Linked DNA regions of Elephas maximus indicus. Each later gene encodes a partner of the first gene's protein in a complex. Links are inferred from orthologs where the notes say so. Each region holds a gene or a part of one and is shown on either strand. Other genes may lie near its edges. The genes, in order: AP1G1 and AP1S1.

Region 1 (16,062 bases):
ACCCTTATGATTCTGAAGAGGTTGACTTTGAAGATCTTAACAGAAGACTTGAAATGCTAAGAAAAAAAAAATCCTCATAATTCCTTAGTCTTAGATTGAGCATTTGCCTGGGAATCAGTGCTCCTGGGCACAAATGAACATGGCCACTTGTGTAAGTGTCTCAAGTTTTCTCATTCACTTTTTCTTCCTTCTCTTAAATTCTATGGTTCTCTGTCTACTGTAATAATGTGTGTGTGTGTGCACATGCACATAGTTATTTCTGCCCCTTAAAATTCTGTGATTCTTACATGCCGATTTCTGACCTACTGAATTTTATGAATTGTATTCAATAAATTTTAGTATTTCTTCGATTCTTATTTCTTTCATAATTTTCTCTTTTTTTTTCCATGGAAGCAGACTGGCATGTATTTAAATCCCACCCCTACGCTTACTAGCTTTGTAAGCTTTTTGGCGTATGTGTGTGAGAGAGCTAGGAAGTTAGAGGAATGAATATCTTTTTTTTTTTTTTAAAGGCTATCTTCAAGAAAGGAAGTGTAAACACTGACAGCAAATGAAAGAAGTATTTCCAGGAAATAAGTGGAATCCTATATACCTGGGTTCAAATTTAGACTCTGCCACTTACTAACTCTGTGCCTCCGTTTTCTCATCTCTAAAATGTGGACAATAATGAGGATTAAAAGAAATAATATATGTAAAATTCCTTAGCACTTAGTAAGTACTCAATAAAGAGTTTTCTGTTCAGTTTCTGTTACTTGCTATGTTCTAGTGTATTAAATATTAGTTATTCTCTGAGACCGATACCTGCGTTTTATTGACTATGCAAAGGCATTAGACTATGTGGGTCTTAGCAAATTATGAATAACATTGCGAAGAATGGGAATTCCAGAACACTTAATTGTGCTCATGATGAACATGTACATAGACCAAGAGGCAGTTGTTCAAACAGAGCAAGGGGATATTGCATGGTTTAAAATCAGGAAAGGTGTGCATCAGGGTTGTATCCTTTCACTATGTTTATTCAATCTGTGTGCTGAGCAAATAACTCAAGAAGCTGGACTACATGAAGAAGAAGGCAGCATCAGAATGGGAGGAAGACTCAATAACAACCTGCAATATGCAGATAACACAACTTTGCTTGCTGAAGGTGACGAGGATTGAAGGACTTACTGATGAAGATCAAAGACTACAGCCTTCAATATGGATTATACCTCAACATAAAGAGAACAAAAATCCTCACAACTGGACTAGTAAGGAACATTGTGATAAATGGAGGAAAGATTGAAGTTGTTAAGGATTTCATTTTACTTGGATCCACAATCAACGCCCATGGAAGCAGCAGTTAAGAAGTCAGGCAATGTATTGCACTGGGCAAATGTGCTGCAAAAGACTTCTTTAAGGTGTTGAAAAGCAAAGATGTCACTTTGAGCACAGTCTTAGGCTGGCTCTAGAGAAACAAAACCAGTAAAGTGTATAAATATATGTAGAGAGAGATTTGTAGCAGGGAAATGGCTCACGGGATTGTAGAGGCTGTAATGTCCCAAGTCGGTGGGACATTGAATAGAGGCCTCTCCTGATTCACATAGCCCCAGGGTCTGGCAAATCCAAGATCAGCCGGTCAAACAGCAGGGTTTTTGCTCACAGGCTGCGAAGATCAATGAATCCCAAGATCGGCAGGCAAGACTGCAGGTAAGCTGCTAGCTCAAGTCCCAAGAACTGGAGGTCAGACAAGAAGAGCTAGCTGCAGGAACCAGAGCAAGGAAAAGCCTTGCCAGAAAGTCCACTTGTTATATTCAATCCGGGCCTCACCCCCAAGGAAACTCTCTTTCAACTGATTGTCTACTCACAGCAGATCATGGAGGTGATCACGTTATATCAAATCTCATCATGGAAGTGATCACATCATCATATGACTGCCAAACTACATCATAACCACCAGACTACTGAGAATCATGGCCCAGCCAAGTTGACACACAACCTTAATGATCATAAGGATTAAGGTATGCCTGACCCAAACCATGATATTTTCAATCATTTCATATGCATGCAAAAGCTGGACAATGACTAAGGAAGACGGAGGAAAAATTGATGCCTTTGAATTATGGTGTTGGTGAAGAATATTGAATATACCATGGACTGACAGAAGAATGAACAAGTGTGTCTTAAAAGAAGTACAGCCAGAGTGCTCCTTGGAAGTGAGGATATCGAGAGGTCGTCTTGTATACTTTGGACATGTTATCAGGAGGGACTAGTCCCTGGAGAAGGACATTATGGTTGGGAAGGGAGAGGGTCAGTGAAAAAGAGGAATACCCACGACGAGATGAATTGACATAGTGGCTACAACAATGGTCTCAAACACAGCAACAGTTGTGAGGATGATACAGGACTGGGCAGTGTTTCCTTCTGTTGTACACAGGGTCACTGTGAGTTGGATCCAACTTGACTGCACCTAACAACAACAACTGTGAAACTGAAGAGAGGAAAGCCTGAGAAAATAAAATGGCCAAATTAATTTCTCAGAATGCAATTATTGGTTATGTTAAGTATTTATTTCAGAATTCTATTTTATGTGTCCAGGAGGGTTTATGTTGACCCCTTTGTATGTGAAAAAGTGATACCTGTAAACCATTCTCTCTCCTTAAAAAATCAATTTGATGTTCAATATTCCATTCTTGGATCCCCCCCAGCCCCCATTAAAAAAACAACAGCAAAAACTTATTCAAAGAATGTAGGGTTGAAGGGAGGATCTTCCAAACCAGGACCAGGGACCCTGCCTAGCAAGCTGGCAGCCCCTCCTCAGGAGTAAGGGATCTCCTACTGGCACCTGCTCAAGCCCTAGGCCATCCTCTGGCATTCGTGAGTGGCTTGGCAGAGAAGGAGTTTGGTGTTTCCTGAACTTGGCACCAGAGATTGGCTGCCCCAGTTACTTCAGATGTCCCAACAGTTCTTGGACTTCCTGGGCCAATTTTAAAGCAACTGTAGGACTGATTTTAGAGGAACAAGAATGGGGCAATGCACCTAAAGGCCAACGGAAACAAATTACCATGGATCCTTCTAGGCAAATGGTGGTGTCCACATTAAGGAAATTACTAAGTAGACAACAATGAGTCAGTAGTCCTGCTCTGTTTCTGGGTGGCTTATCCTCCTCTGGGGGCCTCAGTTTTGTCTTCCTTAACAAGAGATTAGTATCATTTCCTCAACTTAGGGTTTGAATTGATTCCAGTCTGAAACCTGGTGATATTTTTTACTCCAAAGGTGCGACATACAACAGAATCATTTACAAACCAATTGTAACCACTCTACAAGAAAAACAAACAAACAAAAAAACATTATGACATAAAACATCTCAGGTAGCACTCAAAGCTGTTTAAAACCTCTCTAAAGCAAAGAGGGAGCTTGGCTGAACCTCACATCCTCTGGGCTTTGGTCTTCACTTTGAGGGAACATGTATTTCTTAATGCTCTTGGGAGATGGTCAAAGAGTGTATGGAATTGCCTACTGGAATTTTAATTTTCACATTATTGCTGGCTGTTGTCATAACTGAAGGATTAATTCGTAAGCCTTTTTCTCTGGTCAGGATAAATTGTGACAAGGGGCCATATTTAAAAGGGTTGTAAAAATGCTTTTTCTGAAAACCTTACATAAACAACAGCAGAGGGACTATTTATGGATTTGGGTGACTCAGATGATAACAACACAGTCCAGTGGAGCTGCCTCTTTGACTCGCATCACTGTATTTCCTACAGAGATGTGCTCCCTCTTCAGTGGCCTTTCTGGGCTGAGGTCTCTGGCATGTGGAGAGGCAGGAAGAGTTCCTTGTGAAAGATGCTGACCGCATTTCTGCAGAGACAGCCTTCCTCATCTGCTGTAAAGGTCATGTGGCTTCAGCTGCTGATACTAATGAGTCGTTTAAGAACTCCACTGCATCCCTAAGCCCAAGAGAGAGAACCCTCTCTAGTACCGCAGATTCCAACAGACATGCTATATCTTCCAAAAGCCCTCTTTGACTGCTCTGGCTTCCAGCGAGCTCTCGTTTTTGGTCTTTTTGTACTAGAATTTACTAATCTGCTGAGTAATAGTATTGCTGATATATTTGTAATTTGTGGATTTTAAAAAAAATCTAATTTTCCCCAGTGAGATTATAATTTTCTGGGGGGTAGGGACAGACTCTTTTGAAATGTCTGTTATAGATTCTGGTATACACAGGACAGGAAAGAATCAGGCAGCATATTAATTGAAATAATTACTATTTGGCAGGTACTGGGCTAGAAAAAAAAAGCATATTGAAAATTGGAAGGTCTAGATTTGAGTCTAGTCTCTGCTGTATGAAAGTGTGATAAATCATTTAATTTGTCTGAGCCTCTGTTTTCTCCTTTCTAAAATAGGGATGATAATGTTTGCTCTAAAGAGAGCCGATAGTTATTGAGCTCTTTGTATTCACCAACCACTGTTCTAAGTGCTTTAAATGTATCAGCTCATCATTACACCAGCTTAAAGATGTTGATGTTATTATTAACCCCATTTTACAGATAAGAATGTTGTTGTCGTTGTTAGGTGCTGTCGAGTCAGCTCCGACTCATAGCGACCCTATGCACAACAGAACGAAACACTGCCTGGTCCTGTGCCATCCTCACAATCGTTGTTATGCTTAAGCTCATTGTTGCACCCACTGTGTCAATCCACCTCATTGAGGGTCTTCCTCTTTTCCACTGACCCTGTACTCTGCCAAGCATGATGTCCTTCTCCAGGGACTGATCCCTCCTGACAACATGTCCAAAGTACGTAAGATGCAGTCATGCCATCCCTGCTTCTAAGGTACATTCTGGTTGTACTTCTTCCAAGACAGATTTGTTTGTACTTTTGGCAGTCCATGGTATATTCAATGTTCTTCGCCAATGCCACAATTCAAAGGAGTCAGTTCTTCTTCGGTCTTACTTGTCCATCTTTCACGTGCATATGATGCAATTGAAAATACCATGGCTTGGGTCAGGCGCACCTTAGTCTTCAAGGACTTTGCTTTTCAACACTTTAAAGAGGTCCTTTGCAGCAGATTTACTCAATGATTTGATTTCTTGACTGCTGCTTCCATGGGTGTTGATTGTGCATCCAAGTAAAATGAAATCCTTGACAACTTCAGTCTTTTCTCCGTTTATCGTGATATTGCTCATTGGTCCAGTTGTGAAGAAAAAATTCAAGCCTCGAGTTGCAATAGTGAAGGATCCTATGGGGAAAATATTAAATGACGCAGGAAGCATCAAAAGAAGATGGAGGAAATACACAGAGTCACTATGCCAGAAAGAATTAGTCGATGTTCAAACATTTCAAGAAGTAGCATATGATCAGGAACCGATGGTACTGGAGGAAGAAATCCAAGCTGCTCTGAAGGCATTGGCGAAAAACAAGGCCCCAGGAATTGACAGAGTATCAATTGAGATGTTTCAACAAACAGATGCAGTGCTAGAGTTGCTCACTCGTCTATGTCGAGAAATATGGAAGACAGCTTCCTGGCCAACTGACTGGAAGAGATCCATATTTATGCATATTTCCAAGAAAGGTGATCCAACCAAATGCAGAAATTATAGAATAATATCAGTAATATCACATGCAAACAAATTTTGCTGAAGATCATTCAAAAATGGCTGCAGCAGTATATCAACAGGGAACTGCCAGAAATTCAGGCTGGTTTCAGAAGAGGATGTGGAACCAGGGATATCATTGCTGATGTCAAATGGATCCTGGCTGAAAGCAGACAATAACAGAAGGATGTTTACCTGTGTTTTTATTGACTACGCAAAGGCATTTGACTGTGTGGATCATAACAAATTATGGATAACATTGCAAAGAACGGGAATTCCAGAACACTTAATTGTGCTCATGAGGAACCTTTACATAGATCAAGAGGCAGTTGTTCGTACAGAACAAGGGGATACTGCATGGTTTAAAGTCAGGAAAGGTGTGTGTCAGGATCGTATCCTTTCACCATACCTATTTAATCTGTATGCTGAGCAAATAGGCTGAGAAGCTGGACTATTTGAAGAAGAACGGGGCATCAGGATTGGAGGAAGACTCATTAACAGATGAGAAAGAGGCTCATGAAAGTTCAGAGATGTTAAATAACTTTCTGCAGGTCACACAAGGATGAGTGGAAGGACAAGGTTTTAAGCCCAGGCAGGCTATCGCTAGAAACCCATTCTCTTAACCACTATGCAATAGCGCCCATGTGTTTTACAAGCCCATGGTGGGTGAACAGCAAATGAGTCAATGTATATGAAAATAGTTTTGTAAACTGTAAGACAGCATACGTTTGTGCTATTGTCACTTGTAGTTGTTGTTGTCCTGTGTGGTTGAGTCGATCCCAACTCACAGCAACCCTATGGGACAGAGTAGAACTGCCCCATAGGGTTTCCAAGGAGTGACTGTTGGATTCAAACCGCCAACCTTTTGGTTAGCAGCCAAGCTTTTTTAAGCACTGTGCCACCTCTCTAAATCTATTTTGGAACAAGGCAAGCCATAACCCGTAGATATTGAATGTCTTGCTCAGAGCAGGAAGTTACTTAAACCGAACTAGGACTGGAACCCAAGTGGTTTGACTCCTGGCCAATGCTTTTTCAGTTGTTATTTGTTAAATTGAAGCACGTAAGTTATCAATAAAAAACAAAATCATAGAAACAATGATGTTTTCTCCCAGCCATTCTCTATTCCTAGAAGTTTGTTAAATCTTCTTAGGCTGTTGGTGTTTTAAAAACAAAAATTATCTTTAGCATTTGGATCTGAAAAACTTCATTATCTTAAGAATTTTTTTCAAAGTGTAAAAGTCTGTTTTTTTCCCCAACTATAAAAGTACAGTATGCTTGATGCAACACAAAAACCAAAACCAAAAACAGCAAAAAAAAAAAAAAAAATTGTAAAGAAGTGAAAATCATCTATAACCCCACCACCCCAAAATAGCTATTTTTGTGTTGTAGTTTTATCCTTCAAATTTCTTTCTATGCATATGTAGTTTTTACAAGCTCATTTTATAATACTTTTTTGTAATATTATTTAAAAAAATTTGCCATACGGTGATAAAGATAGAGCTATAGTTGTTTTCACTGGCAACATAATATTCCATTTTATGGAAGTTCTGTAATTTATTTATCTGGGATTAGGGATTATATTTGAGAAGATGAGGAATAAACCTTTCCAGACTTTAATCACTGCCCAGGGAAACCAAAGATCCTGGGATAATGAAGACCCTTTATATACTGGGCCAATTGCTTTTAATTTTCAGTTGTATGAAGGAGGGGTTTGGTAATTATAAATATTGTGAAATACAAGTAAAAAAAAAAAAAACAAACAAGCTTGGAGTGGTCTCCATTTTGTAATGTCTGCAATTTTCTCTTTAATGGTCTGCCATTTGGCCTGGTGGAATAAAGCACCTTCCTTCTTGAATAGCTATACCTCAGAGAAACCCAGGTATGGCATCATATGGTATTCCTGCAGAAGAGGGTGCTGAATTCCAAAAGCATTCCACTCCCTAAACTATTTGCTTTGGGTCAAATCCACCGTGAGAAAGGCAGAGATAGACACAAAGACGGGGGGGGGGGGGGGAGAGAGACAGAGACAGAGAAAGAGACAGAGAGATAGAGAGAGAGAGACAGAGAGAGACTGTGTGTGTGTAGGTGGGACGGGGCGGGGGGCGGGGAGGACGACGAGAGGTTACTGTTTCCCAATTTGCAGGGTAGGACCACTGGAGGGGCAGTGGTTAAGCGTTGGGCTGCTAACCAAAAGGTCGAATCCACCAGCCTCCCCTTGGAAACTCTATGGGGCAGTTCTACTCTGTCCTATAGGGTTGCTATGAGTCGGAATCGACTCGATGGCAAAGGGTTTTTGGTTTTTTGGTAGCAGGACTACAGCGGCATAGGGGAGAAAGGAGGGGCGGATCCTTTGGTAAGTCAGTGTCTGAATTTCAGTTTCCTTATTTATACAACTAAGTTACTTACACTTACCCAGCCTGACTCAGGCGGTTGTCGGGAGGGTCAAAATACATATGCATATGAAGGTGCTTCGTTAACAATGTGATAGCGATATTTAATAATGGTAAAAGATGATTACTATTATTACTATTTCAGCCACCTTGCATGATCCGGTAGTTTAAGGACAAAATTGTACAGATGGGCTACCCCGTTCATCTTTTGCAGTGTTTTGAACCCCCTGAAAATGATTGCCTAAGGGAGAAAAAAAAAAAAAAATACAAACTCTTTCCAATGACACTCAGGTCCTAAACTCAATGCTTGTGATTAGTTCGGTTCACTGGTGCATCCAGCCGGGTGCTGTGCTTTATTCACTTTGGGGGGCACTTTATCTCCAATCTAACCGAAGAGTTTTAGTCTAGGTAGGTCACCTTTTCTTTAAATAGGACAAGATATCATGACACTGTTTATGTTCACATGGAAAATATTCTTGGTCAGGTGTTAGTAATTATTTATCAAGCCAGGAACTGTCTGGTTGGGCTTCCTATGGTTCAGGTTATTAGTTCATGAAGACATACACAGAAAGCCCAGTCTGGAAAGGTTTTATCACTAGCCTAATCCTTTTTTTTTTTTTTTTTTTTTACATAAGAGGGAAGTGAGGCCCACAGAGTTTAAATGACTTGTCCAATGCAGGGGTTGAATGATGGTACTGTGTCCTCCTTTAACTCTTCATGCAGAGGTGATCTGAAAGAGCTTGGGATTTCAGTGGATTATGATTTGGCTCGGGGTTCTCCACCCCTTACCTGCCTCTCCTTTCTCACTTCCTCTGCTACTTTACCTAGCCCCGCCCCCTTCAGGTGCCATTAGCCCAACCCGTTCCCTCCCCCCTCCCCCCACAAAGCGGAACCAATGTTCGTCAGCTCCGGGGTTGACCGGATCCTTCTTGTTCAGACTCATCGCAGCGGTGACTCGGCAGCAGCGTCTCGCGTCATCAGTGACAGCCCCGAACCTTGCTACGCTTCGCGTCGCTCGGCCAGGGGCAGTCGCTTCCTCCGTGGCAAATAGTCCTCGGCGACGTCTAGATTCTTGGATAATAGCAGAAGAGAGGCGCAAAAGGTTGCAGTTAGAGGGTGCGGAATCGATAAGGAGAGGAGGATAGGAACCCGAAGTTTATGCAATAGTGTGTGAAGTTAGTTAAAACTCCGTCCCTCCTAAGGATCCCTCCGCCTGCGGTAGCGGTGGTGAGGCGAGGAAGCCGCCATTTTGGATGTTCGGTTCCTGCTGCCACTGCTGCCGCCGCCCCCGGAGCTGCTGGTTTCATTCGAGGTTTCGGGCCGGTGAGTGTCACTCTCGGCGCCGAGAGTATATTGCTTCTATTGCCCAGCGGCTGCTGCGAGCCCTCGACCGGAAGCTTCCTGATAAGCCCAGGGGTCCGGTTCTAGTCTGTGGGGGGTGAGAACAGAGGACAGAGGCTGGGCCAGGAGGGGCCCGGACCCCAAGGGCTGCTCTGACTTCTTGAGGGCCGCCCCTGAGGCATCGGACCCGGTGGCTCTGCGCGCGGCGGCACTTTGGCTTTGGCGTACCCGGATCGGTGCGGGCCTCCATGAACCCGTTGACTTTCGTAGTCTGCGGTTCTCCTTTGAGGACTCCATTCAGGGAGCCTGGGGTTTAGCGGGGCGGGCTCCACCCCCGCGTGTCTTCACAGAGCCACGTATCAGCGTTCTTGTATCTGTACCCGGGTCAGGTGTCTCACAGAACTCTCCTCAGCATATTCAAATGTTCAGTTAATCGCTGTCTGTCCCTCCAGTGCCGTCCTCCCTGAACCGGACATCGACCTCGCCTTCCTCTAACCTTTCGACCGTCTTTTTCAATTCTCCGTTTTATGTTTTTTTTTTTTTCAAACTAAACTGCGCGTATACCGATTATCCTTCACTCAAAGTCTTGGTCTTGAGGACGTCAGTTTTTAATAATTCTCCCGATCTTTCTGACTGCCTGAAAAAGTTGGGACGGTTGGTTGAGCTCTGTTAGGGCTGGCTGTAGAAGATCCATCAAAGCACCAGCTCAAAGTGTACTTCAGTAGTAAATGTTTATAAAGCAAATTAAATGGCTTTGTGTGTGTGTAAAGTAGGGGGTGTCAAATATTTTCTTTTTGGTGGATTACCCTCTTTTGCTGAGCACTTAGCTTTTTGGTGCTTATTGACATTTGTACATTTTTCTTGGTGTTAACGTATACCTGGGAATGGAAAGCTGCCTATGAAGAAAAATAGTAATCTGATGTAGTTAGGAAGGAGAGTAACTTTTTTGGCTGCTGTAGGGATTAGTCAACAGAAGGGAGGAGTGAATGAAGATTTCTTAGTAATTTTAACTTTTAGGTGTATTGTGTAGAAATGATCTCTCTCACTGACTCTAGAAATGGTTCATTGACTTTTCTTTTTCCTCTCTGTTGTAAAAAAAAAAAAACTGGTCAATTAGAAAATACTCGTATTGACTTTGTGTGTTGGGTTTTTAACATTAACTTAAGCTCTTCTCAGTATACACCTTAGCTTTTGTTTTGAAAAATACAGACCTTCCAGATAAGTGTAATTTCACTACTTTTACTCTGCATCTAAAATATGTTTGCAGGGTAGCATGCGTGAATAAAAGCATTTCATAGCAATTCACTGATTATTTCTTACATTTCAAGTTAGGTGAGTCTGATTCAATCACCCCTATTTCACATCTCAGCTTAGGTTTTTATATCTGTAAAATAACTTATTTGAGATCACAGTCTAGTAACTGTTGAAATTTTAATTTATAACTTGAATTGAGTCACATTTTTTAATATCTAATATTTATATGTATTCACCACTATTTCACGTCTCAGCTTGGGTTTTCACATTTTTAAAAGAGATTACTTATCTAAGATCACAGTCTGGTGACTGCTGAAATTTGAATTTATAACTTGAACTGAATCAAAATATTTTTAGTACCTCTAATATATGTATTTAATACCTCTATAAGTGGAGCCTTGGTGGTGGAGCCTTGGTGGTGCAGTGGTTAAGAGCTTGGCTGCTAACCGGAAGTCAGTAGTTCCAGTCCACCAGCCACTCCTTGGAAACCCTGTGGGGCAGTTCTACTCTGTCTTTTAGGGTCACTATGAGTCGGAATCGACTCAGTGGCAATGAGTTTTTTAATGCGTAAGTGCATTATTCTTGCCAAGTTATTGAAATGAGATTATAGATGAACTGTGTTTACATGACGCCTCAGTAGAATACTGAATGTTTTCATTGTAAAGACTCACTGGTCTTGTTAACTTATTTGTTTTAAGGGAATTTTTCAAAAATGTATTAGTTACTACTAGATATCAGTGAGTTATTAGTGTTCGCGTAGTTTACTCTAAAGCTATGGAGTTTCATGGTTAAAGGAACTGTCAAACACTGAACACCTATGGAATGCTCACTCCTTCACTAACTGTCCCTTACAGATTCTTCTAAAATGTTCTGAGTTACACTTTTAAAGCAAAATATTGCAGGAGCTGTCAGGTGTTATTTAACTCCATTCATTTCGTGGTATAATGTACTGGTAGGTATTTAAATGTTATTCATTCTTTGGGGATTTGCATTCAATTGAAGAAAGTGTTCTTTTGCCTTGGAAATTTTTAAGGACTGTTTAGTGCACCACTGATTGATCAGCATATAGTTGAATATCACTTTGTCCAAGGCTGTTGGGATTACACTTGAAATTAACATTAATGTTTAGGAAACCTCAGTTCATTTTCTTTTGGGAACAGTTTCTTGTTCTTTTGATTTTTTTCACTGAAGTTCTAGGTTTGGTGGCAAATTTTAGAGTGAAACTAAAGTACAGAAATTGCCAGCAATGCCTGGGTTATAATATTTCAGTATTTAAAAAGTCTTGACAATGAATGATATATTTAAGAAAAAAGTTTTTGTGACTTATAAAAACTCTTTATACAAAATTTTAAATGTTGAACGGTCATTTTCCAAAACCATTAAGACTATTTTTAATTAAAAAAGTTGAATTGAGAAACTGCATACCAAAACAGATTTTTGAGATGCTTAATCCCCTTTTTGCATTGGATGAGGATTATCAAATTTTGTGTATACAATAGGACTTAATATCAAAGGTTATAAACTCTCAGATTTAGCTTTAGAAAATCTAATAAAACTATTACCTGTCTTCAAACTGCACCAACTTGTTTAACTGTTTTTGGTGCTTTAATTTAATCTTTCTTTGCTTTATGAATTGTTTTCAATTATTGATTTTGACTTTTTTTCATGTTGCCTTTATTCACTTTCTTTCACGTAGTATAGGATCATATTTAACGTAGCAAGCAAGCGATTTTAAAATGAAGAGAACATACATTTATATAACTTCCCGTATTATCTTGGCTATAGGTTTTGAAAATCATGTTTGTCAGAATGTATTAGAATTTTTCGAGTTGCCTTTTTGTTGTAGGAAATTTGATTTCTCTGAAGGCAGGGAAGAGAAAGGGAGAAAGGTGTAATTTCTACCTTGAAAATACATGTAAGGTTTTTTTCTTTATTGAAGGAGTAACACAAAACAACCTGGCATAAGTTCTGGTTGCTAGAATAATCTCCCGTCAAAAGGTTTGAAGGGTCCAGAAGTGAAAATACCTACACTTGCCAAACTTGTTGAGTTGCAGTAACTGAAACTTTGGTATAAAAGGGCAAGGTTTGTGATAATATGATTAAATTGAGAAGTGCCTTTTTCGCTAGGTACTGGGAAGTTTTGCCTTTTTTAAGCCTAATTGGATCATTGGAGAGGTAAAGATAATAAGTTATAAACATCATCAATGAAAAATTAAATAGGCTTGGAAGAAAAAAATCTTAGTTTTTTAAAAGATGGGGAAAATATATGTGACCTTTGTACTTTTTGAGTAAGTGAAGACATTTTAAAGGCAAGTGGTTTTTAATCCTGCTTTCTCCTTTTTTACAGTATGAAAGTCACAGTGTAACCTGATGTCCAGTTGCTTTGCTAACTTCAACTCACTGTGTCTGGTTCTATGTGTGTTATACTGAGATTCCCAGGCTTTTCATCTTGTCTGTCTTTAAGTTAATGTTTTGGATTCTTGGAAATAACAAACAAGAGAAAGATATGAACTTAGGAACTGTGAAATAACTTTTAGTATTCCCCTTCTTAAAAGCCTTTGGGTTAAAGTTAAGACTTGTAGAAGAAATAGATGTACAATATTTGGCTATAAGAGCCAGCTTTTATAAATGATTGAACAGCAGTTGTACAGCTCAAAATTTAAGGAATTCCATTAGTGTTTCTACAGCTTAATTTAGTGATGCTATTTACTAAACTTCACTATTGGAAAATTGTTCAGTACCAAGCTGAAGAAAAAGGGAGGGAAGTTAATTCTTATATTACTTTTTTTGGTTCACTTTCTATTTTTTGAAAAATTTGAAAGCATCAAATTTTAAAAGTATGGTGAAAATATTAGTTTGAGATGGCTAGTTGGGAGAACTACCAGAGTTAATCGAATCTTTGTAGATACTAGTCTTTTGGTATGATTATTGAAGGAAAAAACCTTATTGTAAACAAGAAAAGAGGCTAGTTTTCTGATAGAACACAAAAACATCAGAAAACATTTTTGATGTATTAAGTGTGTATTTGTCTCTAGCAGTGAGGGCACGGACGCTGTATTTTCTTTAGAAAACTTCCATGATGAAAGCTTAATAAATAGTGTTGGCTTTTTAAGAAAGTAGAACAAGGAAGTAGCTTACGCTTTGATTTTACTAGCCTTTGTTTGTATTGTTTTTATTTATGCACACTGAACTTTTTGCTGTTCCTTGACTACTCCATGTTCTTTACTTTCGCATTGTACAGGTTCCACCTAAACCTGGAATGCTTTTTTCTCCCTTTCACCTGGTAAACTTATTTTTCCTTCATGTGTACCCCGAGGCAAAGGGGTGTAGCACCTTTTTTTTTTTTTAGTACTTGTTAAATTGTCTGTTTTTTCTTGAGCAGTCTAAAGGGGAAAAATTATCTCATTTCTTATGATATCTCTAGTACATAGCAAAGGAACCCTGGTGGTGCAGTGGTTAAGCAGTCAGCTGCTAACCGAAAGGTAAGCGGTTCGAGCTCACCAGCTGCTCCTAGGGGAAAGATGTGGCAGTATACTTCCATAAAGATTACAGCCCTGGAAACCCTATGGGGCAGTTCTCCTCTGTCCTATGGGGTCACTGTGAGTCACAGTTGACTTGACAGCAATGGATTTTTTTATTACATAGCACGGTACCTGGCTATTGGTACTCACTCAGCAGAATAGATAATATGAATGAAAATAATGTGGAGAAATTGTTCAGATACTCAGGCATGCTATAATTGGTCAATCGTAGAGTCAAAAATCATTTGGGGTCCTGACTAAGTTATGGGAATCTATTATAGTCATTTACTTGTGGCTGGTAGAGTTGATGTCAGTGAAGTTTATTTTCAGGTTTAAAAAACATACAAAACCTTGTCTCCAAATCTTTGAAGATATTATTTAGTTGTTCGGTCCAAAACCTGAGATGATCCTTATCTCTTTGTGATTTACTCAAACTCTTACGCAGAAATTTTAAGTAACAACCAAGAAATCTGGCTCTTTCTCATTTGCATATTCCTCTAATTCATTGAGCATCTTCTCATGTGCTAATTGGCTGTTTGTAAATCTTTGGTGAACTATCTGTTAAGTCCTTTGCCCTTTTTTTTTCCCCCAGTCCACTTGCCAGAATTTATTTGTAATTCCAAAATCAGTACTGTATAACACTTCAGTGGTTATTTGTGCAACAGTGAATATTTGAGTCCCCTATAGCCTGTGTTCCTGTCCGAGTTTCAGCAAGGTAGCACTCTGCCTTCATGTTTCATCTCCCACTGTAAACAACTGTCCTTTTTCCAGTCTATTTAGTGCCACATTTATCTCATTTTTGTGCTTTTTGTGGGTGACTTTCCTGTTTAAAATGGTGCCCAAGCATATTGCTGAAGTGCTATCTCGAGTTCCTAAGTGTGGCTTATGGAGATAAGCTTCCTTCAGGTATGAGTTATAGTGCTGTTTGCTGTGAGTTCAATGTTAAGGAATCAACAGGATATATTAAATGTCTTTAAACAGAAACACATATAATACAAGGTCATGTATTGATTGGTTGATTAAAATGTGGCCAGATGCTCACAGGAACCTAACCCTGTATTTCCAGTAAAGCACTCGTTCAGTATTCACTAGTGTTCTCAGTGACTTCAGAACATAACTACTAAGAATCAGCTGCAATTTGTCCATTTTTCCTTTGCCTATTTTTTTGATTGGGTTGTTCGTCTTTTTGTTGTTGAATTGTAGAAGTTGTTTATATATTCTGGATATAAACCTTTATTAGTATATGATTCCTAAACATTTTCTCCCATTCTGTAGGTTGTCTCTTTACTTTGTTGATACAGTCCTTTGATGCAGAAATTTTTAATTTTGATGAAGTCCAATGTGTCTGTTTTATTTTTTGTTGCTTATACCTTTGATGTCATATCTAAGAATCCATTGTTGCAAACTAGGTCTCGAAGCTTTACTCCTTCGTTTTTTTTAACAGTTTTATGATTTTAAGTTGTTGGTACACTTTGAGTTAATTTTCATGTATGATGTGAGGTACAGGTTCAGCTCCATTCTTTTGCCTGTGAAAATCCATTTATCGAAGAGACTTATTTTATTTTGAAGGGACTTATAACCCTTGTTGAAAATCAGTTGACCTTAGATGTATAGGTTTATTTCTGGACTCCCAATTCTATTCTATTGGTCTGTATGTCGGTTGTTATACCAGTACCAGACTGTTTTGATTACTGAAGCTTTATAGTACGTTTTGAAATTGGGAAGTGTGAGTCCTCCTACTTAGTTCTTATTTTTCAAGATTGCTTTGGCTATTCAGGGCCTCTTAAAATTCCGTATAAATTTGAGGATTAGCTTTTCCATTTTTGCAAAGAAGCCTGTTGGAATTTTGGTAGAGATTGCATTGAATCTTCATCGCTTTCGGTAGTATTAACGTCATAACAATATTAAGCCTTCCAATCCATGAACATGAAATGTCCTTCCACTTATTTAAGTCTTTATTTCTTTCAGCAATGTTTTATAGTT
Region 2 (16,814 bases), on another chromosome or scaffold:
CTGCTCACAGTCACTCTCCCTCTGGGTATCCATCCCTGTTCATGTCATTTCCTTCCACCCCCAAATGCCACCCCTACTCCCCACCTCTCAAAACCCAAATCAAGTTCTATTTCTCTCCACCTAAGATTTTCCCTTGAATCTAGTCAACATCATCACCTTTAACTTGATATTTAATTACTTTTCTTTTTCCTGGTTTGTAACAATGCCTGTATTCATGCATGCCCTTTACCTTTGTACACACCTTACCCTACCTATCCCCACCAAGATATCAGGTTCTTTGAAAACAGGATCTTTTATTATATGTACACTGGATATCCTCTTCAAAATGTCTTCCTAAAAATTATTTTATTCTCTTCTTCCGGTATCTTAAAGGCTGCTTGCAGAAGACATATCTCCCTCAATTAGTTTGTTCACATATTCCAAAATAAAATTTTAAACTGAAAAAATACCAACAACTATCCATCAAAACTGTGCTGTCCCACTCCAGAATCCTCAAGATAAAACTGATAGATACTATCAGCAGAATTCTATTCCAGCCCTCTAGATACCCAGGTCATCTTAAATAGAAACTAATTATCTTCGGGAAGTTCTTGATCAAAACACTGTCCGGTAGTTAAGAGGTAGTGAGTTCTCTGTCACTGAAAGGGCCCAAGGACAGCCAGGATTAACATGTGGTGAACATGTGTCAATGATCAGGGTATAAGACCAGATGAATTTCTTAAAATGATATACAACACGTGGAAACCCTGGTGGCATAGTGGTTAAGTGCTACAGCTGCTAACCTAAAGGTTGGCAGTTCGAATCCACCAGGCGCCCCTTGGAGACTCTATGGGGCAGTTCTACTCCGTCCTATAGAGTCGCTATGAGTCGGAATCGACCTGACGGCAACGGGTTATACAACATGTGCTCCTAGCAAGACATTCAAACAGTTCAAAAAGGGTAACAGTGGGAACTTGATAGCCACCTTCATGTTCAGATTCTTGGGTGTTTTTGTAGAACTTTACTAAGCATTTACAAGCATATACAAAATATTCTTTTCTTTCACACAAACAAGGTCATACTATGTATACTGTTTTGCAGCTTGCTTTATTCATCTAATAATACATCCCAGACACCTTTCCCTAACTCTTCTTACCAGCTGCAGGTAAAGATGTACTACATAATTTCTTAAACACCAACGGTGGATATTTTGGTTGTTTTAAGGTTTGTTTGTTTAAATTCACTTTATTGTAACCACTTGCAGATACAATGGTCCACTGTGATGAGCTGTACCTCTAATACGCATGGGTTAGACACAGGAATGTGTTTCAAGTGTTGTTGTTACCAACCGTGCTGAGGTGGGCATCCTTGCACATTTATCCTGGTACCCACGTTTCATGTACCCACAGGGTAACTCCCCAGCAGTAGGACTAAGTGTCTTCGAAGAAACTTCCAGTCCTGGAATGATGTGAATCTGATAACACAAACGTTTTCAAGTGGTGCAATCAAAAGTGTTCATTTTACCTGGTTACAGTCTTACCTTTTCTCAAGCTTAGATGAGCCTTCACAACTTTCCCAAATAAACCACTGCTGTTGAGCAAAGGCAGATTTTAGACCTTGAACTAAAAGAACTTTCACATTATTTTTTCCTCTAAAATGATGTTAGGAGTTCCCTGGAGCAAATTCTGATCATAATGTTTTCAAGAATAAATCCAGAAAATGTATTCACGACATGCATTTGTCAAAACCCATAGGCCTGGACAACATAAAGAGTATCCCCCGATGTCAACCATAAACCAAACCAAACCCATTGTCCGTGAGTCGATTCCAACTCATAGTGACCCTATAAGGACAGAGTAGAACTGCCCCATAGAGTTTCCAAGAAGCACCTGGTGGATTGTGAGCAGCCAACCTTTTGGTTAGCAGCCCTAGCTCTTAACCACTACGCCACCAGGATTTCCATAGTCTTTAGTTAATAATAATGCATCAATATTCTCTCAGTTGTAACAAATGTACCACAGGAATGCAAGTTGTTAGTAGGAGAAACAGTGTCCATGGGGAAGGAGCCATACGGGAACTCTGTACTTTCTGCACAATTTTTCTGTAAACATAAAAATGCTCTAAAAAATGAAGTCTATTAAAAAAAATAAAAGAAAGAAAACCATTAATAAGATCTGTCTCCGGCCATCATTGCTGCAGATTTCTTATAAATCTTTCACAGTGGAATTATTTATCTGCACGCAATAGTATGAATTTTATCAACCCTCAATGGTAAAAAAAATATTCTAGGAAAAAAAAAATTCTAGGCATCAGAATGAAACTTGTCAAGGGGACCATCTGTTTTCCAAGCCATTTTTAGGTGGTTCCTCAAGTTAGCTTCATTGTACTAAGAGTAGGGATGAGAAAACAAAAGCAAAGAGAAGTTGAGTAACTTGCTGCCATTATTATTACTTAACAGCTCCAAGAGGCAGTTGGCTCCTGTCTGTGCTCTAAGCCACTACACTTCACTGCCTCTCTTTGTGGCACTTGTGACCATGGGTCTCCCTGAACACACAGAGGGGATCAGATTCAGCTGGAGCAAAGGTGCTGCACCCATTGGCCAGTCACCAACACATTCTCTGTGTACACCACTGCCTTATGAGCCTTAACACCGGCCTCCTGAACTCAGTCTTTTATCACCTAGCCACCAGGTGTCACCTTGACTCCAGTGGAAAGCTCTTCTCTGATGCAAATCAGCTGTGGCTTCTACCAAAATCTTGCCAAGTTTGAACTCCATTCAATTCACCAAGTATTTATTTATAATCCCAACTTTATACTGGGTACCAAAAAAACCCATTACCATCAAGACGATTCTGACTCATAGCAACCCTACAGGACAGAGTAGAACTGCCCCATAGAAGTGCCTGGTGGATTTGAACTGCCATCCTTTTGGTTAGCAGTTGAATTCTTAAATACTCCACCACCAGGGTTTCCATACTGGGTAGTGTGAAGCATTAAAATAACAACAGACCAAAAGAACTAGATGGTGCTCGGCTACAGCTAATGACTGCCCTGACAGGGAACACAACAGAGAACCCCTGAGGGAGCAGGAAAGCAGTGGGATGCAGACCCCAAATTCTCATAAGACCAGACTTAATGGTCTGACTGAGGCTGGAAGAACCCCAGTAGTCATGGCCCCCAGACCTTCTGTTGCCCCAGGACAGGAACCATTCCCAAAGCCAACTCTTCAGACATGGATTGGACTGGACAATGGGTTGGAGAGGGATGCTGGTGAGGAGTGAGCTTCTTGGATCAGGTGGACACTTGAGACTATGTTGGCATCTCCTGCCTGGAGGGGAGATGAGAGGGTGGAGGGGGTTAGAAGCTGGCAAAAAGGACATGAAAAGAGAGAGTGGAGAGAGAGAGCGGGCTGTCTCAGTAGGGGGAGAGTAATTGGGAGTGTGTAGCAAGGTGTATATGGGTTTTTGTGTGAGAGACTGACTTGATTTGTAAACTTTCACTTAAAGCGCAATAAAAATTATAAAAAAAATAAATAACGAGAGAGAGAGAGAAAGTGATGAGCCTTACCATCAAGTCGCTGCAAAAATGACTGAATGAAACCAGGTGCTGGGGGCAACGTGAAATGGGGAATATTAAAAAAAAAAAAATTGAATGAAACACTGTAGAAATGATTGCTATAGTCTAGATTAGAGTGTAAGGGCTTATCAGAGCCTGCTTCACAGAAATCGTTAAGGATAAATAAGATGAATTTGAATCTGTGGAGAGGGAACGGTAGGGCATTCCAGAAAACAGTATCACAAAGAAAAATAATAGCAAAGCAAGTTCATAAGACAACAAGACGATGAAGTCCAAGTCCCCGGGTTTTCAGACTGCTTCCTCCCTCCTCCAGTAACATAACCAGTTCTCCCTCACAGTCGTCCACACACCCTCTCCTAGTCTAGTGGACCAAGTCTTACATATGCCCCTTGAATAAAAAAGACTATGTTTCTATGTTACTCTTCATGTCCCAACGTGTGAACCCAAGAAAAAAGGCAGTGACACTGATCACAATAGGAAAATAGGAGATGGGGTGGTTTCTGGGGAAAGTGGGAGGAAGTGATAACTCTTTTTTGGCAAGTGAAGTTTGAGGGGACAATGGAATTTCCAAATGGGGGATCCAGTATGCATTTATCCAACAAGTATCATGTGCCTGCCGTGCGCCAGGCACTGTGCTAGGTACAGGAGAAACAGCAAAAGAAGATAGTTTATCTTCTAGCAGGAATATATATATATAATACTAAAAGACAGAATTAGAACTTAGCATGCTTTCCATGAGAAGTAAGATTTATATATCTAGATTTGTGTTATGGATTGAATCATGCCCCCCCAGAATAGGTGTTGTAAATCCTAACCTGTATGCTTGTGGCTACAATCCCATTTGGGAATGAGTTGTACTTGTTATGCTAATGAGACAGGATTAGTATCTTGAGTCAATCTCTTTTGAGATATAAAAGAAATTAAACTCAAGTCAGCAAGCAGAGATAGGGAAAGAGATGCCAAGCCACAGGAAGACAGCCCAAGAGCAGAAGCTTAAAGAGACAAGGGCCTTCCTGCAGAGTGGACAGAGAAAGAAAGCCTTCCCCTAAAGCCGGCGCCCTGGACTTGAACTTGTAGCCTCCAGAACTGTGCGAAAATGAATTTCTATTTGTTAAAGCCACCCATTTGTGGTATTTCTGTTACAGCAGCACTAGATAACTAAGACAATTTAATAACATCTAAATAGATCATAATGGAAGCCAATCAACAAGCACTATGCTGAGTGCTATAAAAGAAACTAAAGATGTATATGACTCCACCCACAAGAAGCTTACAATCTAGTCAAAGAGACAAGGCATACTCACATATGCAATCAATGGACATCATGGCATGATAATGAAGTTAACCAGTCAGGGTTCTCAGTTACAAGCAACAGAACCAGCTCTGGAAAACTAGCGAAAAAGGAAATGATTTCCTTTTTTTTCCAGCGAAAAAAGAAATCGGGTAGCTCATGGAAATGCCAGGAGGGCCAGAGTACTAGGTTGGAGGTCTCACACAAGGAACAGTGCCCCGAATCATACCTTCGTCTTCATCCCTACACCTCACTAGACACAGGACACGGCTACTGGCGCCACTCCACTGCGGTCCTAGGGACTCGATGCTCCGACCCTCTGTCACTCTCCTGTCAATTGCCCCATCCCCACCTCATTCTCTCCTGGGCCAAAGTCTGGGAGATGGACAGATGGGCAGAGCCCAGCAGACACGCCCATGCTGTGGCTGCAAAGGAGGCTGTGAAAGTGAGTATCTGAAATTTTCAGATGCTACAGTGGGAGGTTGTTCTATCTCCCTCTGGACTCATAAAGTGGGGATTTCCAAACTCTAGAAACAGGGTTTTTAGAATCTAAAAAAGGTTTAGAATCTAGGAGATGAAAAAGAATGACAAACATCTACCACAGAAAGTATTCAAATGCTCAGGACTGAAAGGAACAGTATATAGGAAGGTATGAGTTCAAACAAACAAACAAAGATCACTGCAAATGAGTTCATCAGGGAACTATGAAAGAATGGACCAAACATAGGTGCAGAGAACATCACAGGAGAGAGAAACACAGATCATAGACTCATAAAGATGGAAGGGCTTCAGAGGCCATCTGGGCCACCTTCCAGCCACCACAGGAACCACCTTATAACCAGATGAGGGAAGGCATGTGGAAGTGTCAGCACGGTCATGGGGAGACAATACAAATTCCATCCCCACCTATAAAGGACAATCTCACCTCTCCCATATTTTTCCGTTCATAAAAATGGCACCACTAATCCTCCAGGCTCGTCTTTGATTCTTCTCCCTTCTTCTCTATTTAGATGAGTTATCAACTTCTGTTGACTGGCCCACTGCAAGTGTCTCTCTAATTTATCCTTCCATTTCCTCTCACGCCTGGATTACCAAAACTGCTCCTATACGGTCTTCCAGCCTTCCATTTGTCCTTTCAAATTGTCCCACATATTACTGTAAGACTGATTTTCCTAAAAGTGTCTTTGCCAAGTTATTCCCCAGCTCAGGTGACTGTAATGACTCCCAACTGCTTACTGCGTCAAGTTTGAACTCATCTGCAGACAAAAGCTATTGGATGAACAAAAGGTATTGAATCTACTAACTTACAGATCCCCTACAATCATCGTGTACTAACAATGAACAAACCTAGTCGTCATCTTCTAACTAGTTTCACCCGCTTGGATTCTATGATTCTACGTGAGCAAAGCCCTTGTTTCTAACAATTTCCCATGAGTCTTTTCTGCAGCTAGGCATACCACATTAAAATGAGGAACTCTAGAAAGCGTTAGCTTTCTAAGGAATGTAGGAGTTTACATCTCTAGAGCTTCCAAATTTGCACAAGCTGTTGCCTAGCTCTCCACTTTGTCTTTACCTCATTTCTCCTTACTTCCTTGTTTGCAACCTCCTCCCCTCTCCCATGAGCACATTTCTTTTTATTTGTTTTGCCTTCTGTCCTGCTTACACATAACGATCTACCCTTTCTAACTCTTACAACTTGTTTTATTAATGTTACTTTTGACCTAATAAATAACACCAAGATACTTCAGCCAACATCTATGCCATTGGCAAGCCTAACGCATCAGCAGAGGAGAAAGGGAAATGAAAAAGAAAGGAAGAAGAAAACACAAAAGAAAGAGGAGTGTCTTACTTATCTATTCCTGCTATAACAGAAATACCGAAAGTGGGTGACTTTAACAAACAGAAATTTATTTTCTCACAATTTAGGAGGCTAGAAGTCCAAATTCAGGGCAGCAGCTCTACAGGAAGGCTTTCTCTCTCTGTTGGTTCTGGGGGAAGGTCCTTGTTCTTTGGTTCCTTGGAGATCTCCCTGTGGTGTGGTATCTATCTTCCCCCAGCTCTGCTTGCTTGCTTGTTTAATTTCTTTTATATCTCAAAAGAGATTGATTTAAGACACACCCTACACTAACACTGTCTCATTAACATAACAAAGAAAACCCATTCCCAAATGGGATTATAACCGCAGGTATAGGGGTTAGAATCACAACACATATTTTGGGGGGACACAATTCAATCCATAACAAGGTGGGAATGGGAAATAATGATAATAGCTACCATTATCAAGTTTACAATATGCTAGATAAAAAAAAACTTTCTATATATTATCTCTAATCATAAGAGCAACCTTGTAAGATAGGCATTGCTACCCTCATTCTTAAAATGAGAGATGGAGGGATACAGATTAAATGGCTCACCTGAGGCTATACATCTAATAAGGGTGAGAGACAAGATTCCATCCCAGATGAATTAGCCCCACCCCATTGTCGCTAGAGCAGAACCGCCATAACAAAGAACCAGAAAAAAAAAATTAAAAAATTAAGTGGAGACATGTAAGGCTTTACCCACAATTACTTCAACTGCTACTAAAACATAATAGTATCATCTGTTGCCAAGAATTATCTAGAAATACCCATTAATTTTTCAGCATGACAAAATTTAAAATGTTCTCCTAGGCTTAAGATAGATAGCTGCTGTTGAGTTGACCCAAACTCATGGCAACCTCACGTACAACTGAACAAAATGCTGCCTGGTCCTTCATCATCCTCATAATTGCCATCATGTTCAAGCCCATCATTGTGGCCATTTCGCCAATCCATCTCACCCACTGTCTCCCTCACCCTTGCTGGCCCGCCACCTCACACACCATGATGTCCTCCTGAAGCAATTGGCCCCTCCCAATAATGTGTCCAAAGCAAGCGAGTCAGATAATGATCTGTTGTGCTCCACAAGGTTTTCATTGGCTAATTTTCAGAAGTAGATTGCCAGGTCTTTCTTCCTAGTGTGTCTCAGTCTGGAAGTTCTGTTGAAACCTCCACCAGGGGCAAGCCTGGTGGTATGTGAAACACCAGTGGCACAGCTTCCAACATCACAGCAATGCACAAGCCACTGCAATTCCAACAAACTGACAGAAAGCAGTGATGCTATCCTTACAGAGCCACCCCTTTTCACCACCACATAAACACACACACACAGACATGCACAGGTGTGCACACTCACATATACACACACATCCTCAGTTAAAAAGCTCATCTTACAATCTGCACCCTACTCATCTTTACACATATGTCTGGTTACGTCTGTCCCTTTTTAGTTTTGATACATGCTAATCTTTTTAAAAAAAAATTTTTTTTATTAAGGTTCCCTTTATTCTCCCCCTTGAGCCTTAATTTCCCTTCATGTTTCTCTCTCTTCCTTATATCTCTTTTAATATGAGCCTCACCTTTTCTCTTTTATCATTCCCCTCATTTCCTCACACTTCTCTTACTTGAAGAGAATGTTGCACCTAGCAGGTTCTCAGTGGATACTAATTTTGAGCTTTATCTTTGTCTTCCTGCCTCCCTGATCATTCCTCTCCCCCTACATCTAGTTCCCACCCTGCTCAGTCTCAATTGCCCACGTTCCTTCCATTAGTTCTCCTTGCTTCCTCACAAATGCCAATGGTCGTCCCATACATTTCTCACGCCTTTTCCCGCCTTTTTCCCCCAAGGTTCTATAGCGCGAGGACTCATTGTCTTCCTCCCACATCCTCTAACCAACCTACAAGACAGCCTTGTTACCATGACGACAGAGCTACTCAAAGCTGAAGTCAAGGACCTGGTTGCCATGGCTCCCGCTTGTCCGCCTCCAGCCCCTCCCGCGCGCCCCGTAGCGTTGGCGCCTGCGCAGTAGGCAACGCGCCGGGCCTCCGAACTTGGGCGGGACAAGGCGGGGCTTCAGCCGAGAGGGAGGGAAGAAGAAGAAAGGATAAGACGGGAATAGAGCTGGCGCCTACGGTGGCCGAAGAGGGACGCGCCGAGCCGGAGGCTGCAGGATGGTAGGCTGTGCGAAAAGGGAGGGGAGGGGGGAACTGAGGGGCGTGGGCTGCACCTGAGGGGGTCCTTGGGGGCCGCCCTCTGTGCGAGTCGTTCTTTCTTCACTGTCGTCCTCAGAGACCCTCCTGTATCTGGGCGGGTGGGCGAGGCGGCCTCCGAAGGAATTCCTGGGAATGGCATTCGAGAGGAGTGGGGAGGAGGCGCATTTGCTGGGCGAGAGGGGGCTGATGTGGGGACGGCGGCACCGGCGAGACCGGACTGAGCCAGGAGTGGCCGGGTCTCGGTCCGAGGGGTGCCGACCCCTGCCGCCGGGAAGTCGCCCGATGTACAGGGGCGCGGGGGTCTGCTCGTGGAGGGAGGGAGGAAGGGACTGGGGGCCGCCGGTCGTCAAGACCCTCTGTTCTCGAGCAGCCCAGAGAGGAGCGGCGGCCGGTGGGGGAGAGCGGGTGTGGGAGGGAGAGTTTCCGGGTCCGAGGAGGGGACGTCCTGCCTCGCTGTATCGCCATGCTCGCCTGGGGGCAGCGGTGAGGCGGGGAAGCGAAGGGGGCTGGAGCTTTGGCTCTCAGGGACCCAGGCTCTGAGCTCCTGGGCGCCGCTGCTTTTCGCTCTCCGCCCCCCTTCCCATTCTTTTTCCGGAACCCAGGCCTTCCGTCTTCCTGCTCGCCCCACCGCCCCCATCATAGACGCGCCCCGCTCCCTGGCGCCCCTCTCTTCTCCTCCTGCCACAGTAACAGTACTTCCTCTTCCCTACCCCCGAAAAGCCTAGTTCTCGCCTGGCCTTGAATTCAGATTTCTAGCCCACTGTGCCATACGCTAAGGAGCCCTGGTCGCTCAGTGGTTAAGTGTTCCGCTGCTAACCGAAAGGTCGGCGGTTCGAACCCACCAGCTGCTCCGTGGGAGAAAAATGTGGCAGTCTGCTTCGGTGAAGATTTACAGCCTTGGAAACCCTACGGGGCAGTTCTACTCTGTCCTATCAGGGTCGCTCTGAGTCGGAATCAACTCAACGGCAGTGGGTTTCGTTTGGTTTGGTGCCATACACCCAGGGATTCCAGACCTGGTATTGTCCACAGAGAGGAGAGCTGCTGGGAGGAGGAGATGAATCTGGAGCTAGGAAGCTGGAGGTGCACTGGTAGTGAGGGCTCTGCTCTCCTCTGCAGTCCACCCAGCTTGCTCTGTGCGCCACAAACATTCCCAGGTAGCTGTGTCCTCACTCAGGGACCCAAAGAGAGGTTAGTCATCCGGGGTCTGAGAAGTGGGCGCTTAGCAGAAGACAGCCCTAAAAGGCAGAGATGCTAAGAAATCAGAGGCCAAATATCTGGATGACTGCAGAGAGAAGAGGGTGGAATTTGGGATCCCAATACTATGTGCCAGGAGAAGGATAGGACTGGCACCAGAGGGCAGGGTGTTTGGGACATCAGAGAGGACTCATGGTTAGGATGGGGTGGAGAGTAGAGGTAGCTTGTTGAGGGGCAAAATATCCAATTTCATGGTGGTGATGGACAGAAAGAACTTGGAAGAGACCAACCATCTCTTTAGCATCTCTTTAGGGGCTTCTTGTCATGATGCTGGGCATTTTACTTATCTTTAGGAAACAGGAGGTCAGGAGATAATAATTATAGTACTTAACACATTACAATGCTTACCATGTGCCATGCACTGTCGCTAATACCAACTCATTTAATCCTTCCTAAAAATTTTGTAAGGTGGGCACTTTATGATCTCCATCTTACAGATAAGGAAATAGAGGCCCAGAGTCATAAAGGAATTTACCCAACACCATACCCAACTCGTAGGGTCTGGACTTGAGCCCAAATGACAGGCTGAGAAGCTCTGACTTCCCCCAGAAGGACAGGTACCACGTGGTGTGAATACCCAGCATTGACAGCAAAGGGCTGGAATTTTTAAGAAAGCAGGAGCTGGAGTGGAGAAGAGTTAGACGGGATGAGTTTGGGACTGTGTGTTTGTGGAGGGAAGAAGCTCAGAGGAGCAAACCTCTGACCCTCAGCTCTGCTCCCCCTACCCCCCCCCCCCAGATGCGATTTATGCTGCTGTTCAGCCGGCAGGGGAAGCTGCGGCTGCAAAAATGGTACCTGGCCACATCCGACAAGGAGCGAAAGAAGATGGTTCGGGAGCTTATGCAGGTTGTGCTGGCTCGAAAGCCCAAGATGTGCAGCTTCCTGGAGTGGAGGGACCTCAAAGTCGTCTATAAGAGGTGACACATCACCTACTGTCAAAACTGCCTGGATCCTGTTCGATTAGAGTTTGGCAATGGGTTAAAGAGAGGGGATACTGGTAAACAAAGGGCCCCTTATGTCAGGGAGAACTGGGAGCTAAGAACATATCTGGACGTCACTGATTAACCCCAGCTTTCCTTCCTGCCAAACTCCTCTTGAAGAAACTCTTGTTCTCCACTTGATTTTGGTCAAGCACATACCTCTGTCCCTAGAGGCTCCATTTGGTCCACTGTGTGTATCCCTTGTAGTCTCAACAGTCATAGATCCTGCCCCACTTTCCCAACACACGCAGACACATGTACCTTATCCAGTTCCTTCTTTAAGCAGGTGAATTAGTTGGCTAATTTTTTGCTGAGTCAAACAACAGGTCAGAGGGCAAGAAAGAAAAAGTGTGTGTCTTTGCGTATGTGTGTGAGAGAGCACCAGGAGGCAGAGTGAGTTACCCTGTCTGTGTCTAGTGGAGGCACAGACTGGGCTGGGAATGAGGAGAAACAGGGGGTTTAAGCTCAGAGTGCCTGGGTCCTGAACCCAAAAAAGGGTCCTGAAGCAGCCTTCAATTCAGCAGCTATGGCTCATGTACCCCTCTCTCCAGATATGCCAGCCTCTACTTCTGCTGCGCCATCGAGGGCCAGGACAACGAGCTCATCACGCTGGAGCTGATCCACCGATACGTGGAACTCCTGGACAAATACTTTGGCAGCGTAAGTCACTCCACTCATCTGTTTCCTTACCCAACAATCTCCCCTTGCTACCAAATGCCAGGGCCCTTCTAGCTTCTGCCCTGGAAGACTTGGGAGAGGTGAAGTTGGAGCAGTGAGCACAATAATTAATCTCCCTTTTTAAGCCTTAAGCCTATTAGCCATGTACCTTAATCAGTCGCAGGGAAGGGGTGGGGGGAAGGTTTGGACCAGAATCTGTCACTTAATCTCCACATACAGCTCAGCTCAGACTACTCACACAAGGCCAGAGGCTATGTTCAACTTTTTATCAGTGGTTTCTGACCTTGACTACATGTTGGAATCTTCTGGAGAGCTTTTTGAAAATATTGATGCCCAGGTCCCACCCCAAGATTCTGAATTAACAGATCTAGGGCGTAAAGGCTTTCCTTGGAAACTCTATGGGGCAGTTCTACTCTGTCCCATAGGGTCGCTATGAGTCGGAATCAACTCGATGGCACTGGTTTTTTGTTTTAGGGTGTAACTTAGGCATCAACAGACGGCTCAAATCATAGATGGGGAATAGTAATAACTCCATAATTTGTACTCCACTTAACAATTTATGAAGTGCTTTTATGTCGTTCTCTTGTTTGCTCTTTCCTCTGTCTTATGAGTAGATGTTGTTATCTCTATTTTTGCATGAGAAAACTGAGATTCAGAGACATTAAGTGACATATACCGCTAGCTGGATAATGGCACAGCCCTGCCTGGAACTCAAGTCTTCCACCCAATTGTCCAGAATCTCCTCTTCTTCTGGTGGGAACAATATTGCAGTTTTGGCTGGGAAAGGCAATAGGAACCACAGATGAGGGTAGACTAGGGCAACTGGTATTTCATGATCATGGAGAAAGAGGCAAGCGAAGGAGAAGAAAAAGCAGCACCAACTACTAAGGACTGGGGTTGGGAGGACTAGGACCTGGGGCAAGAACCCAAGAGTGGTCATAAGAAAAGAAGTGGAGGGCTGGGGTAGAGGTAGGGGTGGGAACACATCTTGTCACTCAACCTTGTCTTCCCCCTCCTCCTCAGGTGTGCGAGCTGGACATCATCTTCAACTTTGAGAAGGCCTACTTTATCTTGGATGAGTTTTTGATGGGAGGAGATGTCCAAGACACCTCCAAGAAGAGTGTACTGAAGGCTATCGAGCAGGCAGACCTGCTGCAGGAGGTAGGGACCAGGGACAGTGAGGAGGAGGAAGAGCACCGACACTCTGCCTACTGGTGATGGCTGCCCCCTTCCCGCTGCCACTACCAGGGTGGCCTTCGTCCTTGTGGCACCTTCCCCCTTCCCTCTACTTAAGCCCTGACCATAGGGGTTGGGAAGCAGGGTTGGTAGACAACCCACCTGTGCCATTTCTCCTCTCAGTCCAGGTTCTGTCATTCTCCCAAGACCCGGGTGCCTTGTCCCAGGCAAATCTTTTTTGTTCCATACTTCTTTTGGTCTCAAGAGTTGCTCAGAAAATTGGAGAAGGGAACACATACGTGGTAGATAGCTCTTTTATTCCCTGGTTTCTTCCCCAATTTTTTTTTTTTTACCACACACATATTCAACAGCTTCTGCTTCTTAGGAGCAAAAGGCTGTGGGGATTTGGGGGCTGGAGTAGAGGCTGCCCGCTCTGCTGGTTCTCTCTGCTCTCTGCCCCCCACTCGCCCACACCCCATTACTGCCTGCCCCCTCTCTGCTTGCCACGGCTGAGACTTGGTGCAGGGAGATGAGTCACCGGAATCTGCAGTGACAAGCAAGTCAGCCTGAGCTGGCTATGAGGAGGGGGAGAGCTGGGGTGGGGGAGGGGGGCCGCCTCTCTGCAGGAGGAAAGGCAGAGCTGAACTTGCCACCTCACTGGTCCAGCTTCCCCATTTCTGTCTCTGTCTCTCTCCCCTTTCTCTCTCTCACACACGCACACGTACACACATGCCCTGGCATACATGCCCACCCCTGTTATTAGTGCTCTTCTCAAACCCTAATGACTCATCCCTCTACAGCCTGGTTCACCTTCCCTCGGGGACCTGAAGCCAACCTCTTACCCTACCCCCACACTCTGAAAAGGGGGGACCCAACCATGTGCCACCTTCCATTTCCCAGAAAGCAGTCCCAGCTTCGCCCCCCTGTTGCCCTCCCTCAGGTACTCAGGCTGAGCCCCTGCTCACCAAGCTCCTGGCTTTGGGTTCTTTGGGTGGTGGTGGTCTGACTCCTGGCCCCTGCCCTGCCATTGTTGGCTCTGGGGGTGGTCCTGGGAGGCCAACAAGCTCCCCTCAAGGGCTCCCAGCTGATCCAGACTTGGTTCACAGGCTCACATTGGCTTTTCTTTTCCCTGCCCTGTGTCTCCTCTGCTTCCTAACTCTGACTCCTTCCTCATGATTGCCGTTGTCTTGGCTACCCCCTCTCTCTTCCTCCCTGTCTGCCTCTCCTGGTGTCTCTGCGTCACCGTGTCTGTCTCTGCCTTAGGAGGACGAGTCACCGCGCAGTGTGCTAGAGGAGATGGGTCTGGCGTAGCCCCGGTGTGTGACTCGACGTGGGGCTGGTGGAGAGGCAGGGCGAGAGCGGCTGCTTCTCATCGTCTCTCCAGGCCCTTTTCTTGGTGGGACCCAGCCGCCCCTCTGCTGCCTCGCCTTCTTCTGGAGTGAGCTGCAGGCTCCGGACCCTCAAACATTCCCTCCTTCTGCCCCCTACCTCCTGTTTTCCCTTTTCCCACCCAAGGCTGAAGGAGCTAGGAGGTAGGAAAATGTGATCGAGATGGGGGTGCTCTTTGGATTTTATTTCCTGCCTTTGAAGAACTTCTCCAGACTTCCTCTCCTCCCTTGTAACTGTAAATATATAAATACGTCAGGTTAAAGGGAAATGGTTTGCAGGGTTCTTTTCTTTCCCCTGCCCCCGTACCCTACCTCTACCCTTTTCCCCCAGCCAGCCAGCCAGCAAGCTTCTCTGCCTGGGTCTGAGGCTGCTGAGTAGGGAGAGGGAAGCCCTTGCCCTCATCTGCCTCATCTCTGTGTGGCTGTAGTGGGACCGGGTCCAGGGCCAGTGGAGGAACAACAGAGTTAATTTTTTTCTAACCTTGCCACCTTGAGAGAAGGAAGAGTTGGAGGAAGGGAGAACTTTGTGGGAGACTGGGCCCTGTCCCTCCTCCCACCATGTTCTGGGTGAGGCAGGAGCTAAGGGGGTAGGCTGGGGGAAGTGTCTGACCTTATTTCTTCTGAAATAAAAGGAAAAACATTTCTGGACTTTGCCTTCCTTGGACTCTGTGGAGGAAGGCAGGACTGCTGGGATCAGCCAGGACCCAACATTGCCTATTCACCTCTTTCCCCAAAAGGATTGCCAAATTTAGTTAAAGAAAAAAAAAAAAAAAAGACACCCAGTTAAATTTGAATTTCAGATGAACGATGAATACTTTTCTTAGTTTAAGTGTGTCCCTTGCAATATTTGGAACACACTTATATTAAAACCTTATTAGTTGTTTATCTGAAATTCATACTTAACCAGGTGTCATGTATTTTATCTGGTAACCCTTCCCCAAACAGATTTGTGTGCTCAATGCTTCTCCAGCCACCCTGCCTCCAGCTCCCTGAACTACCTTCACTGGGAAGGAGCAATTCCTCAGGAAGTGGCTTCATGCCTTGGGTGTTTCGTTATGGAGGATTTCATTTACCCAGGTTTAGATGTGGGAGAGGAATCAGTAGTTCAAGGATATAGCTCACCCCCAAGGTTGGGAAAGTGTTGAGAAGGGGCTAAAACCAGGATGTTTGACTGCCAACCCCTCCTCTCCATATTTCTTGTGAAATACATACCAAAAAACCAAACCTCTTGGGGTTGAGTCAATTCTGACTCATAGTGACCCTACAGGACAGAATAGAATTGTCCCACAGAGTTTCCAAGGAGCACCTGGTGGATTTGAACTGCCGACCTTTTGGTTAGCAGCCATAACTCTTAACCGCTAGGCCATGAGGGTTTCCCTGTCAAGAATATAGTACCAAGGAATTTAGGGATTAGTGAAAGGAGAGGGGAGGTGAGGTGGACCAGAGGCAGTGGGGAAGTTACCCCAACATGCTCAAGTGGTTCAAGAGTCACAGAATGAAGAGCCAACCTGGTGGCTCTGCATGTCTTTGCCAAGCCCTGGGGAAAGGTGTCTTTTTAACGCTCTCCCTCCTTCAGCTGGAAGTGGAATTTAGGGTTTCTGGATGTGTGTGAGCTGTATAAAAAAAAAAAAAAATCAAACCTAGTGCTGTCGAGTCAATTCCGACTCAGCAACCCTATAGGACAGGGTAGAACTGCCCCATAGAGAGTTTCCAAGGAACGCCTGGCGGATTCGAACTGCTGACCCTTTGGTTAGCAGCCGTAGCACTTAACCACTATGCCATCAGGGTTTCGGTGAGCTGTATGCTCCCCCTAAATACCGGATAAAGTGAATCCACCCCTGAACTCTGATTTGGTTGGGGGTAGGAGGCAGGATACGGGTGTCATGGTTGGCGCTTCCTTCACCGCCCCTTGTGAAGGACCCCGCAGGCCCAAGGGGACGGGTGAATAACCGAGAACAAAGTCCTAATAAAATAGTCACTTTTATTTCTTAGCAAAACTATTTCCTCCGTGAGGGGTATTTACAACAGAGAAGGAAAAGAAGGGGTAAATTCACAGCGATCTGGAGAGGGTGGGGAGGTTCGTGGGAGGCCCAAAGGAAGGAGACAGACACGCTGCTTCACACAACTAACTGAAACTGCTTTTTCCGGTTTCGGACGGGGAAGTCCCTGACGGGACGAGGTGAGGACCGGGGCCCCCTGGGGAGGAGATTCACACAAACCACCTGCCCGCCCGCTTGGGCTGGCCCCAGGTCACCACGAGTGAGTTTGGGAGATCGGGCTTCGGATCCAAGAGGTATGACAGGTCTTGGCACAGCCCTGGGGCGGGGCTCGGCCCGCAGGCCAAGGAGGAAGGGCGAGAGCGGGGCCGGGAGGCGGCCGAGGGGCGGGGCCGGGGCGCATGCAAACATCGAGAAGGGAGA

What was found.
Region 2: the proteins of AP1G1 (region 1) and AP1S1 are in contact, whole or in part, in a crystal structure (PDB 1W63), measured with the Mus musculus proteins. The link is inferred for Elephas maximus indicus from reciprocal best matches to the Homo sapiens genes AP1G1 and AP1S1. Residues at the interface, in NP_001288140.1 of Mus musculus: Leu7, Arg8, Ile11, Arg12, Arg15, Leu54, Tyr55, His57, Met58, Gly60, Tyr61, Lys78, Phe79, Thr80, Arg83, Ile84, Leu87, Met90, Leu91, Asp94, Glu95, Thr115, Phe117, Leu123, Cys124, Gly127, Cys128, Tyr152, Lys155, Lys156; in NP_031483.1 of Mus musculus: Met1, Leu14, Arg15, Leu16, Gln17, Lys18, Trp19, Leu21, Ala22, Thr23, Asp25, Arg28, Lys29, Arg42, Lys45, Met46, Cys47, Ser48, Phe49, Glu51, Lys56, Gln74, Asp75, Asn76, Glu77, Leu78, Ile79, Leu81, Glu82, Leu83.

The regions. Positions count from the first base shown.
Region 1 is NC_064839.1:38,632,980-38,649,041, forward strand, and holds the start of AP1G1 (AP-1 complex subunit gamma-1), read left to right. Parts: upstream 1-8,931; 5' UTR 8,932-9,286; intron 9,287-16,062. UniProt on the Homo sapiens protein: Subunit of clathrin-associated adaptor protein complex 1 that plays a role in protein sorting in the late-Golgi/trans-Golgi network (TGN) and/or endosomes.
Region 2 is NC_064830.1:92,566,209-92,583,022, forward strand, and holds AP1S1 (AP-1 complex subunit sigma-1A), read left to right. Parts: upstream 1-8,791; 5' UTR 8,792-8,876; coding exon 8,877-8,879; intron 8,880-10,910; coding exon 10,911-11,089; intron 11,090-11,703; coding exon 11,704-11,812; intron 11,813-12,853; coding exon 12,854-12,991; intron 12,992-14,269; coding exon 14,270-14,317; 3' UTR 14,318-15,042; downstream 15,043-16,814. UniProt on the Homo sapiens protein: Subunit of clathrin-associated adaptor protein complex 1 that plays a role in protein sorting in the late-Golgi/trans-Golgi network (TGN) and/or endosomes.